Oryctolagus cuniculus: one gene and its partners. The protein of the gene in region 1 purifies or fractionates together with the protein of each later gene. This does not show direct contact. Links are inferred from orthologs where the notes say so. Each region holds a gene or a part of one and is shown in the gene's direction. Other genes may lie near its edges. The genes, in order: ECD, ZNHIT2 and TSSC4.

Region 1 (3,646 bases):
AAGCAAAAAAAACCATAGGTATTTTCAAGAATACAATACATTGTTATTAACTGTATTAATCCTGTTGTACAGTAAAGCACTCATTTAAACACTGGTACCATGCCTAAAATAATTAGCAATAATATCTTTTTGAAAATTATTTATTTATTTGAAAGAAAAATAGAGATCTGCTGACTCACTCTCCAAATACCTACAACAGCCAGAGCTGGATCAGGCCAAAGCCAGGAGCCAGGAACTCAATCCAAGTTTCCCACCTGAATAACAGGGACTTGACTACTTCAACCATCACCTGCTGCCTCCCAGAAAGTACAATAGCAGGAAGCTGGAATCACGAGTAGAATCATACTGAAACCCAGTTGTTCCAGTATGAGATGTGGTTGTCCTAAGCCATGTCTTAATGCCTGTACTTAGCACCTAACCCCAGCAATAATATCTAAGTAATGATATTTAAAGGGGCAAATGAGATTTTTAAATAAGCAATAACTAAAACAGTTTATATTTTTACAGCAATAATGGTAGGGGGGATACCTCTTATATGCAGATGTTTGTTTATAAAATGATGGTTCATATTTTAACAAGTCCATAGAGCTCTTTAAATTCTAAGCATTGACTGTTTTCTCAGTTTTTTAGAAAAAAATAAAAAAGACAGGATACTTCCTCTATGTCCCTGCCAGATTAATAGTTCTCAGTTACAGTTCTAATCATTTTACTACCCTGCTCTAAAACCTTTAACTTTTTTCTCTTTGCTTTGTTGGTGTAAAAAATAAAATAAAATAAAAAAAAAACTTTTTTTTGCCTAAAAGCCATGCACATTCTCATTAGTTTTGCCAAGGATTTTTAAAGCTGTTCACACGGTGATATCACTGTGCTTTTTTTGTCTTGTTCTTCACTAAAGTTTTTGTTCTCCCAGTATCTACCTTAAGTGACTAATAAAGCCCTCCAGGGTTTTGCTTACGCTGTTGCCTCTAGCCTCCAAGAACAGTTCTCCTTTCTCTTTATCTCTCTACACATTAATAGTGGAAAAAAAAGACAGGGCAGGCTTCAGTCTTTGGCTTAGTGGTTAAGACACCAGTTGGGAAACGTTTGTCTTATATCAGAGTGCCTGGGTTTAAGTCCTGATTATGCTTCTGATTTCAGCATCCTGCTCCTGCAGATCCAGGCAGGCAGCAGTGATAGTTCAAGTAGTTGGATTCCTGCCACTTAAGTGGGACACCTGGATTAAGTAACCAGCTTCTGGCTTCAACCTGCCCCAGCCCTGCTGTTAGGAGTATTTGGGAAGTGAACCAGTGAATGAGAACTCTGTCTTTGTGACTCAAATAAAAAAGAAAAGTTTTAAGTGTAAAATGACAGGATGGTATGTAAAATATACTATCTTTTGTGTAAAAAGAAGGGAGAATAAGAATATACTGGGCGTGGGCATTTGAGGAGCAAACCAGCTGGTGAGAGGACTGTCTGTGTCTTTGTTTCTCTCACTGTCTCTGTGTTTCAAATAAACGAAAACTTATTTAATTAAGAAAAAAGAGTATGCATTTCTGCTAGTTAGATTAAACATAAGCAAACTGTAGAAGCATGTAAAAGAACCAGCAGTGAGGGGGATAGGAATTTAGCCACTAGGTTCAGAAGTAACATGAAGACTTTTTCATTCTTTAACTTTTTACATATTTTAAAATATTTTTGATCATGTGCATGTATTACCTGTACAAAAGAAGTGATAACATATGGAGCAAAAGAATTTATCTTTCAAGGCCCAAATAACACCTCTTACATACGGATTTTCCTAATCTTTCCTGTTTTTTTTTCTTCTTTTGAAATCCTATAAAATTATTTTGTGTGTTTTCACATTTTCATCTGGTATTGTTTATGATTATTTATCAACTTTTTTCTCATTTTACCATCTTTCTCTAATCTCTCCTTATAATCTTTTTAAAAATGTGTTTATTTATTTATTTGTTTAAGAGGCAGAGACAGAAAAAGCTCCCATCTGCTGGTTCATTCCTGTATGGTCCCAATAGCTAGTACTGGGCCAAGCCAAAGCCAGTGCTAGAAACTCAATTCCGGTCTCCCATGTGGGTTGCAGGACCCTAATTACTTGAGCTATCACCATTGCCTCCCCAGGTCTGCATTAGAAGGAAGTTGTAGTCAGATGCTGGAGCCAGGCACTGAAATGTGAGACATGGACATCTTTTCCTCTAGACTGTCCATCCTTTCCTTAATATCTTATAGTTTCTTTCAGTGCTTAATGATGGTGTTCCAAATATTGTACTTTCTTAGAGCAGTCAGCACATAGTGCATTCTCAAATATTTACAAAGAAGAAGGAGAAATATATTAGCATGAAACTGTTCTGTTTGCTAACAAATGTGTTGTTTTTGAATGCCGAATTGCAACTTCTTTTGCATTAGGATTGAAGACAATGATGGTGAATTCTTGTTAATAGAAGCTGCTGACTTTCTCCCTAAATGGTTAGATCCTGATAATAGTGCCAACAGGGTAAGTTTATCTGTTTAGAAAAATTACAAGCATAAAAATATTTTGCATTATTTTCATATGTACCTAGAATTTGCCATTGCCCACTATGAAAATTAAAATGTACCATTTTCCAGGTGTTTTTCCACCATGGGGAGTTGTGCATTATTCCTGCACCAAGGAAACCTGGAGCAGAATCCTGGTTACCCACTTCACCCCCAACAATCCCACAGGCATTGGATATAATCTCAACACATCTGGAAAAAGTTGTGGCTTCAGAATCTATACGAGCTGCTGTAAACAGGCGCATCAGAGGGTAAGAAAGACACCACTTCCGTTGCTCGTTAAGGAGCCTTTTGTTTTAGTGCAGCTCAAGTTTTTCACCTAGATTAATGGAATTAATGCTAATTCCTATATTGTCTGCATCCCTCTTTATGAAATTGACTAACAAACTTACAGACTGTTTTTTCTGAAGATTTATTCATTTATTTGAAAGGCAGAGTTAGAGAGAGAGGAAGAGAAATGGAGAGAAGATCTGTCCACTGATTCACTTCCCAAATGGCTGCAACAGCCAGAGCAGAGCCAATCTGAAGTCAGGAGCCAGGAGATTCTTCCGGATGCAGGGACTCAACTGCTTGGGCCATCCTGTGCTGCTTTCTTAGGCACATTAGCAGGGAGCCGGATCGGAAGTGGAGCAGCTGGTCTTGAACTGGCACCCATATGGGATGCCAGCGCCGCAAGCTGCAGCTTTATCTACTATGCCACAGTACTGACTGCAAACTTGCAGATTTTGAAGCTTAAACAAGTAGAAGTCAGGGCCGACACTGTGACATAGCCGGTAAAGCCACCGCCTACAGTGCTGGCATCACGTATGGGGGCACCATTTTGAGTCCTGGCTGCTCCACTTCTGATCCAGCTCTCTGCTATGGCCTGGGAAAACAGTAGAAAGTGGCCCAATCCTTGAGTCCCTGCTCCCATGTGGGAGACCTGGAAGAAGCTCCTGGCTCCTGGCTTTGGATCGGCATGGCTCCAGCTGTTGTGGCCAACTGGGAAGTGAACCAGTGAATGGAAGACCTCTCTCTCTCTCTCTCTCTCTCTCTCTCTCTCTGCCTCTCCTTCTCTCTCCGTGTAACTCTGACTTTTAAATAAATAATCTTTTAAAAATATTTTAAAACTCTAACT
Region 2 (2,699 bases), on another chromosome or scaffold:
ATGGCATAGTGGGTAAAGCTGCCGCCTGCAGTCCTGGCATCCCCCGTGGGCGCTGGTTCGAGTCCCGGCTGCTCCACTTCCGATCCAGCTCTCTGCTATGGCCTGAGAAAGCAGCCGAAGATGGCCCAAATGCTTGGGCCCCTGTACCCGTGGGAGACCTGGAAGAAGCTCCTGACTCCTGGCTTTGGATCGGCGCAGCTCCGGCTGATGTGGCCCATTAGGGAGTGAACCAGCGGCTGGAAGACCTCTCTCTCTGCCTCTCCTCTCTCTTTGTAACTCTTTCAAATAAATAAATCTTTTAAAAAAATGATTTCAAGCCGGCGCCGTGGCTCAATAGGCTAATCCTCCACCTTGCGGCGCCGGCACACCGGGTTCTAGCCCCGGTTGGGGCGCCGGATTCTGTCCCGGTTGCCCCTCTTCCAGGCCAGCTCTCTGCTATGGCCAGGGAGTGCAGTGGAGGATAGCCCAGGTGCTTGGGCCCTGCACCCCATGGGAGACCAGGAAAAGCACCTGGATCCTGGCTCCTGCCATCGGATCAGCGCGGTGCGCCAGCTGCAGCGGCGGCCATTGGAGGGTGATCCAACGGCAAAAGGAAGACCTTTCTCTCTCTCTCTCTCTCTCTCTCACTGTCCACTCTGCCTGTCAAAAAATAAAAAAAAAAATAAAATAAAAAAATAAAAAAAATAAAAAAAAATAAAAAATGATTTCAGCCGGCACTGCTCAGTTTTGCGGTGCGACCACCAGGGGGCGGGCTGGCACAGACGGGACACTCGTGGCGCCCTAGCGCTGCAAAGGGGGCGGGGCTTCCGAGTGTGGGCGGAAGTTGCCGAGAGCCCTTGTCAGCCTGGCATGGACTAACGCTCGGAAGGCTCCGCGACGAAGCGGAAGTAACCGAGGAGGCGCCGGAAGTTGGCCCGCGGCGCGCGTGACGTCCGCGGCGCGCATGCGCTGCCAGTTGCCATGGAGCCGGCCGGGCCGTGCGGCTTCTGCCCGGTTGGGGAGACGCGGGCCGCGCGCTACACCTGCCCGCGCTGCAATGCGCCCTACTGCTCGCTGCGCTGCTATCGGGCGCACGGGCCCTGCGCCGAGGACTTCTACCGCGACCAGGTGCTGGGGGAGCTTCGCGGCCGCAGCGCCTCGCCCAGCCGCCTGGCCAGCGCCCTGCGCCGGCTGCGTGAGCAACGCGAGACCGAGGACGAGCCCGAGGTAGCAGGCCTCAGCCCGGGCCCCGCACCCGGCGGACTTTCGGGACTCTGGGAGCGGCTGGCACCTGCCGAGAAAGCGGCCTTCGAGCGGCTGCTGAGCCGCGGCGAGGCCGGGCGGCTGCTGCCTCCCTGGCGGCCGTGGTGGTGGGGGCGCGGGGACGGACCCCGGCTCGTGGAGGCGGTGGGGGACGCCGCGGAGCCCGAGCCGGATCTGGAGCCGGAGCCCGCCCGCCCGCCCGCCGTGCCCGCCCGCATCCCCGCGCTGGCCAGCCTGAGCCGCAGCCCGGCCTCGCCGCTCGTGCGCTTCCAGCTGCCCAACGTGCTGTTCGCCTACGCGCACGCCCTGGCCCTGTACCACGGCGGCGGCGACGACGCGCTGCTCCCCGACTTCTGCGCCACGCTGCTCGGCGTTTCCGGAGCGCTGGGCGCCCAGCGAGTCTTCGCCTCTAGCGAGGAGGCCCTGCAGGCCGCAGCCCACGTCCTGGAAGCCGGCGAGCACCCGCCCGGGCCCCTGGGGACGCGGGGCGCCATGCGAGAGGCCGGCCGCATCCTGCTGGGCCGGGGCCCCGCCGACCCCAAAGGCTACACGCTGGCCGCGCTGGGGCACCTGGCTCGGACCCTCGGCCGTGCCCGGAAACAGACCGCGGCTGGCGAAGACCGAGATCGCCTCTACCGCGCCCGGAAAAAGTGCCAGTACCTGCTGGCCTGGGCCAACGAGAACGAGGCGGCCCTCGGGCCCCTGGCTGTGGACTGCGCCAGGGCGCACGGCGCGCACGCGGCGGCCGCGGAGGAGGTGGCCGCCCTGGCCGGGGAGCTGGAGCGGCTGTGGGGCGGCCCTGTGCCCCCCGCCCCACCTGCCCCAGGGGCTCTCATTGAAGAGCTCCCTGGCTGACCTGGGGGGCTTGGCCTCAATAAAGCGGAGATTGGCCCTGCCCGGAGTGACAGCTCAGTTGTCCCGCCCAGCCCCGGGCTCTCGGGCCCACGGCGTGTCCCAGCCTTGCCCTGCCCCAGAATGGAACGGAAGCGGGCGGCGACTTGGAGCCGTTTATGCAGGGGAGGAGGGGTCTCCGCCGGGGCGCGGGCGCTCAGTAGACGTAGGGCACGATGCGGTGCGGCACGCGCCGGCAGTACTCCAGCCACGCGCGGCCGTACTTCTGCAGGCACTGCCGCTCGTCGCGGGCCTCCCGGTGCACCAGCAGCGCCGTGAAGTAGATGATGTAGAAGTAGGGCAGCAGGTGCGACAGCCCTGCGGGGAGGGGCCGCAAGGGTCTCCACGCTGTCCGGCCGGGCGGGGGAGGCCCAGGGCCAGCGGGGGCCGCCCCTCCGCCGGGGCACTCACCGCAGGGCAGGGACCAGGCCAGGGCCATGAGGAGGTCCCCGAGGTAGTTGGGGTGGCGGACCATCCCCCACCACCCAGACACCAGCAGCCTCCGCCCCGTGGCCGTGGGGATGGTCTCCAGGTCTGAGGAGAGACGGGCAGGGGGCGGGTCACTC
Region 3 (3,746 bases), on another chromosome or scaffold:
GCCGCCCCCGCCGCCTGTACAGAGCCACCCCGCTCGCTCCGCACGCAGCTGCCGGCTCTCCGGGCTCTGCGTCTCCCCCGGAGCCCCTGTGGCTGACGCCGCGTGCCAGGGGCACCTGCCGAGGGGGGCCGGGCCTTCTTAATCCTGTTGCTTTCCTGCCTGTTCCGGGAGCACCTGTCCTTTCTAACGTCACCTTCAACTGTAACGCCCGCAGCTGGACACAGTCTGTAATAAAGGAGGAGACATCGGGCATGCTAACGCGCTGGCCGCCGGTCCTGGCCGGTGGGGTCTCAGTGGGTGGGGCGCTGGGGACAGAGGGGTCTGGACTGTGCCGAGCCCGCGCGGAGCGGACGGGACCAGGACCCAGGGAGCGTTCCGCGGGTGACCGCCCCTGGGGCACACCGGGCTGCGGGAGGGGGCGGCCGGGCTCCGGGCTCCCTGCGGGCAGCAGGCCCCAGGTCTGCTGAGACGTGGGTGGCCCCCCGGGCCTCAGCAGCATCTCGGAGCAGCCAGAGCAAAGGCCCCGCCTCGGCCTGGACAGCAGCCAGGGAGGACTGAGGCTGGCCCTGCGGAGGGCGGGGGCTCCTGCTGCTCCCAGCCCCTGGGGGACAGGGTTGCCTGGGAGAACTAGGTGCAGCGAGGAGTCCCCTCCACTCCCCCCGGGCCGTGCTGGCCCAGGCTGGCCTCTGGACGTGCAGGGCCTGGGGCCCCGGGGCTGCCAGGACAGGGTGGGTGTCCCAGAGGTGCCTGGGCCGTGCATGACCCGCCTGCTGTCCGCGGCTGGCCCCCCCGGGGTCCTTAGACGCCGGTCTCCCCGTGAGTGCCAGGACAGCAGGCCCCCGCAGGAGAGGGACTCAGGAGCTGGGGTCTGGCGGGCACCGAGCAGCCCCAGCAGAAACGGGGGCAAAAGGCGCTGCCCACTTGGGGCCTGGTGGCCAGCGAGAGGCCTGTCTGGGAGAGCCCGGGGCCGGACCTGCCCAGGATGGCCACGCCCAGCCCCGGCTGCCTGGGCCGCTGGGCAGCGCTCCGCGCGCCTGTCCCTGAGGGCCGGGGAACCGGAGAAACATCGTCAGAGGCTCCCGACGTCCAGCGCAGCCCACAAGCTCAGTGGCTGCCAGGCCCGCCCCGGGCATTGACGGATGGACCCGGGAAGGGGCAGCGACTTCCGCTTTCGGAAGGCCGGAAGTGCGGGCAAGGGCTTCTGCTCCACCGTGCGCGATGACGCACTTCCTGTCTACGTCGGCTGCTGTCTCCGCACCTCCCGGTAGGTGGCACTAAAACTCCGAGAGGCCTGCGCCTCGCCGTTAGTCGAGCATTCTGGGAGTGGCGGTTGGCTCCGCCCCTTCCTCCGTGTCAACGCTAGGCCTTTTCCGTTTCCGGAACCCGCTCCTGGCGCAGGGCTTGGAGGTGTAAGGAGAAGGGCGTGGGCGCATGCGCACTGGGGCACACGTCCCGTCAGGGCTCGGGAGCTGAGGCCCGGTGGCTTATGGGAGATGTAGTTCTTCGGTCGCGGAGGCCACAGTGCGCGGCTAGCGGGGGACTCGGTTTCCCAAAAGGCTGAGCGCGGCCGGCGGGGAACCCGAATGAAGGCGGCCGGCACGAGGAGCCGGTAAGTCCGGGAGGGCCCTCTGCGCGGCCGCCCTGACACGGCGAAGGTGTGCTCTGCTCCGCGGCAGAGGCGGCCGGAGGCAGCTAGAGCCGCTGCCCCTCGGCCCGGTCGCGGGATCCCGGCCTCCCCAGCCCAGGGCGCGCTCGCCGCGGTCCCTGCTGGGCCCAGCGCTCCTCCTGCGGCTGCTCCGCGGGAGGAGGTGCTGCGCCGCGCCTGGGTCGGCCCGAGGCGGGGAGCGCCGTGTGGAGGGTGCGCCCGGGCTGTCCTGCAGCCAGCCCCTCGGGAGCGCGGGTGGGGGTCGTGTCCGGGGCCGCGGGGGCGGCCTCTGCCCAGCAAGGCCGCTCGAGCTGACCCTTGAGCGCGCTCGCGAGCCCGACCCCGCCGGGGTGGCCGCGGCCCGGGCCCTGGGGCCCAGCCCTGGGCTCCGCCTCGTCCCAGGCAGCTTGCGGCCGGCCCCGCGCTCTGACGCGGGCTCTGTCCCCCGCCCCTCACCCAGCCCCGTCTGAGCAGCGGAGCCGAGGCCACCGAGGAGCCCACGCCGGGGCCACCGAGGACCTCCGTGGGCGGACGGGGGAGGTGAGAGCCGGGCCGGGGAGGGGCCCGCTGCTGCGGCCGCGTGGGCCGGCGACCCTGAGCTGCCCCCTCCCCGCGGGCTGCTTCCCCGCAGGTGCCGTGGGACGGGGCCATGGCCCAGGCGGGGGCCGAGGGGGACGCCGCGCCCCCCGACGACGCCGACTTCCCCAGCGACTCGGGCTCGGACTCGGACTCGGACCTCAGCTCTGGCGGTGCCGAGGCGGCCGCGCCGTGTGTAGACCTGCCCGCGGACTCAGAGGACTCCGAGCCCCCCTCGCCGCCCCCGGCGCCCCCCGCCCCTGCGGCCCAGCCGTTCTGCCTCCGGGGCACGAGCTCCGCCTTCTCCCGGCGCAGCCACAGCGTCTTTGACGGCCTGGAGGGGGCGGCCGGCGCCCCCAGGGGCCCGCGTGTCCCCGACTACGTGGCGCACCCGGAGCGCTGGACCAGGTACAGCCTCGAGGACGTGGCCGAGGCCAGCGAGCAGAGCAACCGGGCGGCGGCGCTGGCCTTCCTGGGCGCGCGGGGCCCGGCCGCCCCCGCCGCCTGCGCGCCCGCCTTCAACCAGGACTCCTCCAGCTGCGGGGAGGGCAGGGTGGTCTTCACCAGACCGGCCCGAGCCCGCGAGCCCAGGCCCGAGAGGAAGAGGGGCCTGGGGCAGGGCGCGCAGCCGGGCAGGGGCCTCCCGGGGACCGAGGCGGTGGAGCTGCCCCACCTGGCCGGGCCCGGGAGCCCAGAGGCCGAGGAGAGGGGCGGCACCCCCGGCGGCCTGCAGGAGGAAGACGCGTCCCCCGCGGCTGCCCACAGAGGGGCCTCGCCAGGGCCCCCCGGCCTGGACGCCGTCGGCTTCCACGGCGCCAGGAAGCGGAGCCGGGAGCACTTCCGGAACAGGGGCAGCGGCTGCGAGGGCCCAGCGGCTGAGGGGTGAGCGGGCCGGGCCGCGGCCGGGGGCCCGGGGCTCCATGGGTGACAATAAAGGTGTTGGGTGTCCTCGGGTCCTGTCTGTCGTCTCACTCCCCCTGGGCCCCCAGCCCCGCTCGGACCCTGCAGAGTGACGGCCCCAGTGTTCCGCTTCTCTGGGTTTTTGTTTGCTTTTAATTTTGAAAGATAGAGAGGTCTTGCGTGCACTGGTCCACTCCCCAGAGAGCCGCAGTGGCACAGGGGCCGTCTGCTGCTCTCCCAGCTGCAGCGGCAGGGAGTTGGGTCAGAGTGGAGCAGCCGGGACTGGAACCACACATACAGGAGGCGGCTTTACCTGCTGCGCACAGTGCCGGCCTGGAGGGGCTGAGGGGTCCCCCTGGGCTGGGGTCAGGCCACAGGAGTCCAGCATGGTGCCGGACAGGCCTGAGTGGTCCTGTAGCCGTGCCCACGCTCGCCTCTGGCTGTGCCCCACCCAGACTGTCAGGACGGGGTGCAGAGCCGGCATCTGGGGTCTTGTGCCAGGACTCCAGCCCAGCATGGGCCATGGGGGACAAAGGGTGGGTTCCCCAGGTCTGCTGGGGGAGGCCCACGGAGCGAGCATGTCTGTCCCCCACTCCCTTGACCCTTGAGGGCTCGGCCTGGTTGT

Evidence for each region.
Region 2: the proteins of ECD (region 1) and ZNHIT2 purify together in Homo sapiens (affinity purification with mass spectrometry; 3 studies listed by BioGRID and IntAct, counting the BioPlex papers as one, with this or other methods). This does not show direct contact. The link is inferred for Oryctolagus cuniculus from reciprocal best matches to the Homo sapiens genes ECD and ZNHIT2.
Region 3: the proteins of ECD (region 1) and TSSC4 purify together in Homo sapiens (affinity purification with mass spectrometry; 3 studies listed by BioGRID and IntAct, counting the BioPlex papers as one, with this or other methods). This does not show direct contact. The link is inferred for Oryctolagus cuniculus from reciprocal best matches to the Homo sapiens genes ECD and TSSC4.

Annotation. Positions count from the first base shown.
Region 1 is NC_091446.1:64,309,972-64,313,617, reverse strand, and holds part of ECD (protein ecdysoneless homolog), read left to right. Parts: intron 1-2,400; coding exon 2,401-2,488; intron 2,489-2,601; coding exon 2,602-2,780; intron 2,781-3,646. UniProt on the Homo sapiens protein: Regulator of p53/TP53 stability and function. Inhibits MDM2-mediated degradation of p53/TP53 possibly by cooperating in part with TXNIP. May be involved transcriptional regulation. In vitro has intrinsic transactivation activity enhanced by EP300.
Region 2 is NC_091432.1:6,443,131-6,445,829, forward strand, and holds ZNHIT2 (zinc finger HIT domain-containing protein 2), read left to right. Parts: upstream 1-926; 5' UTR 927-960; coding exon 961-2,097; 3' UTR 2,098-2,138; downstream 2,139-2,699. Other genes in the region: delta(14)-sterol reductase TM7SF2, read right to left, coding at 2,291-2,451, 2,545-2,667. UniProt on the Homo sapiens protein: May act as a bridging factor mediating the interaction between the R2TP/Prefoldin-like (R2TP/PFDL) complex and U5 small nuclear ribonucleoprotein (U5 snRNP).
Region 3 is NC_091432.1:1,158,945-1,162,690, reverse strand, and holds TSSC4 (U5 small nuclear ribonucleoprotein TSSC4), read left to right. Parts: upstream 1-1,132; 5' UTR 1,133-1,218; coding exon 1,219-1,264; exon of another isoform or gene 1,265-2,105; coding exon 2,106-2,185; exon of another isoform or gene 2,186-2,276; coding exon 2,277-3,107; 3' UTR 3,108-3,174; downstream 3,175-3,746. UniProt on the Homo sapiens protein: Protein associated with the U5 snRNP, during its maturation and its post-splicing recycling and which is required for spliceosomal tri-snRNP complex assembly in the nucleus.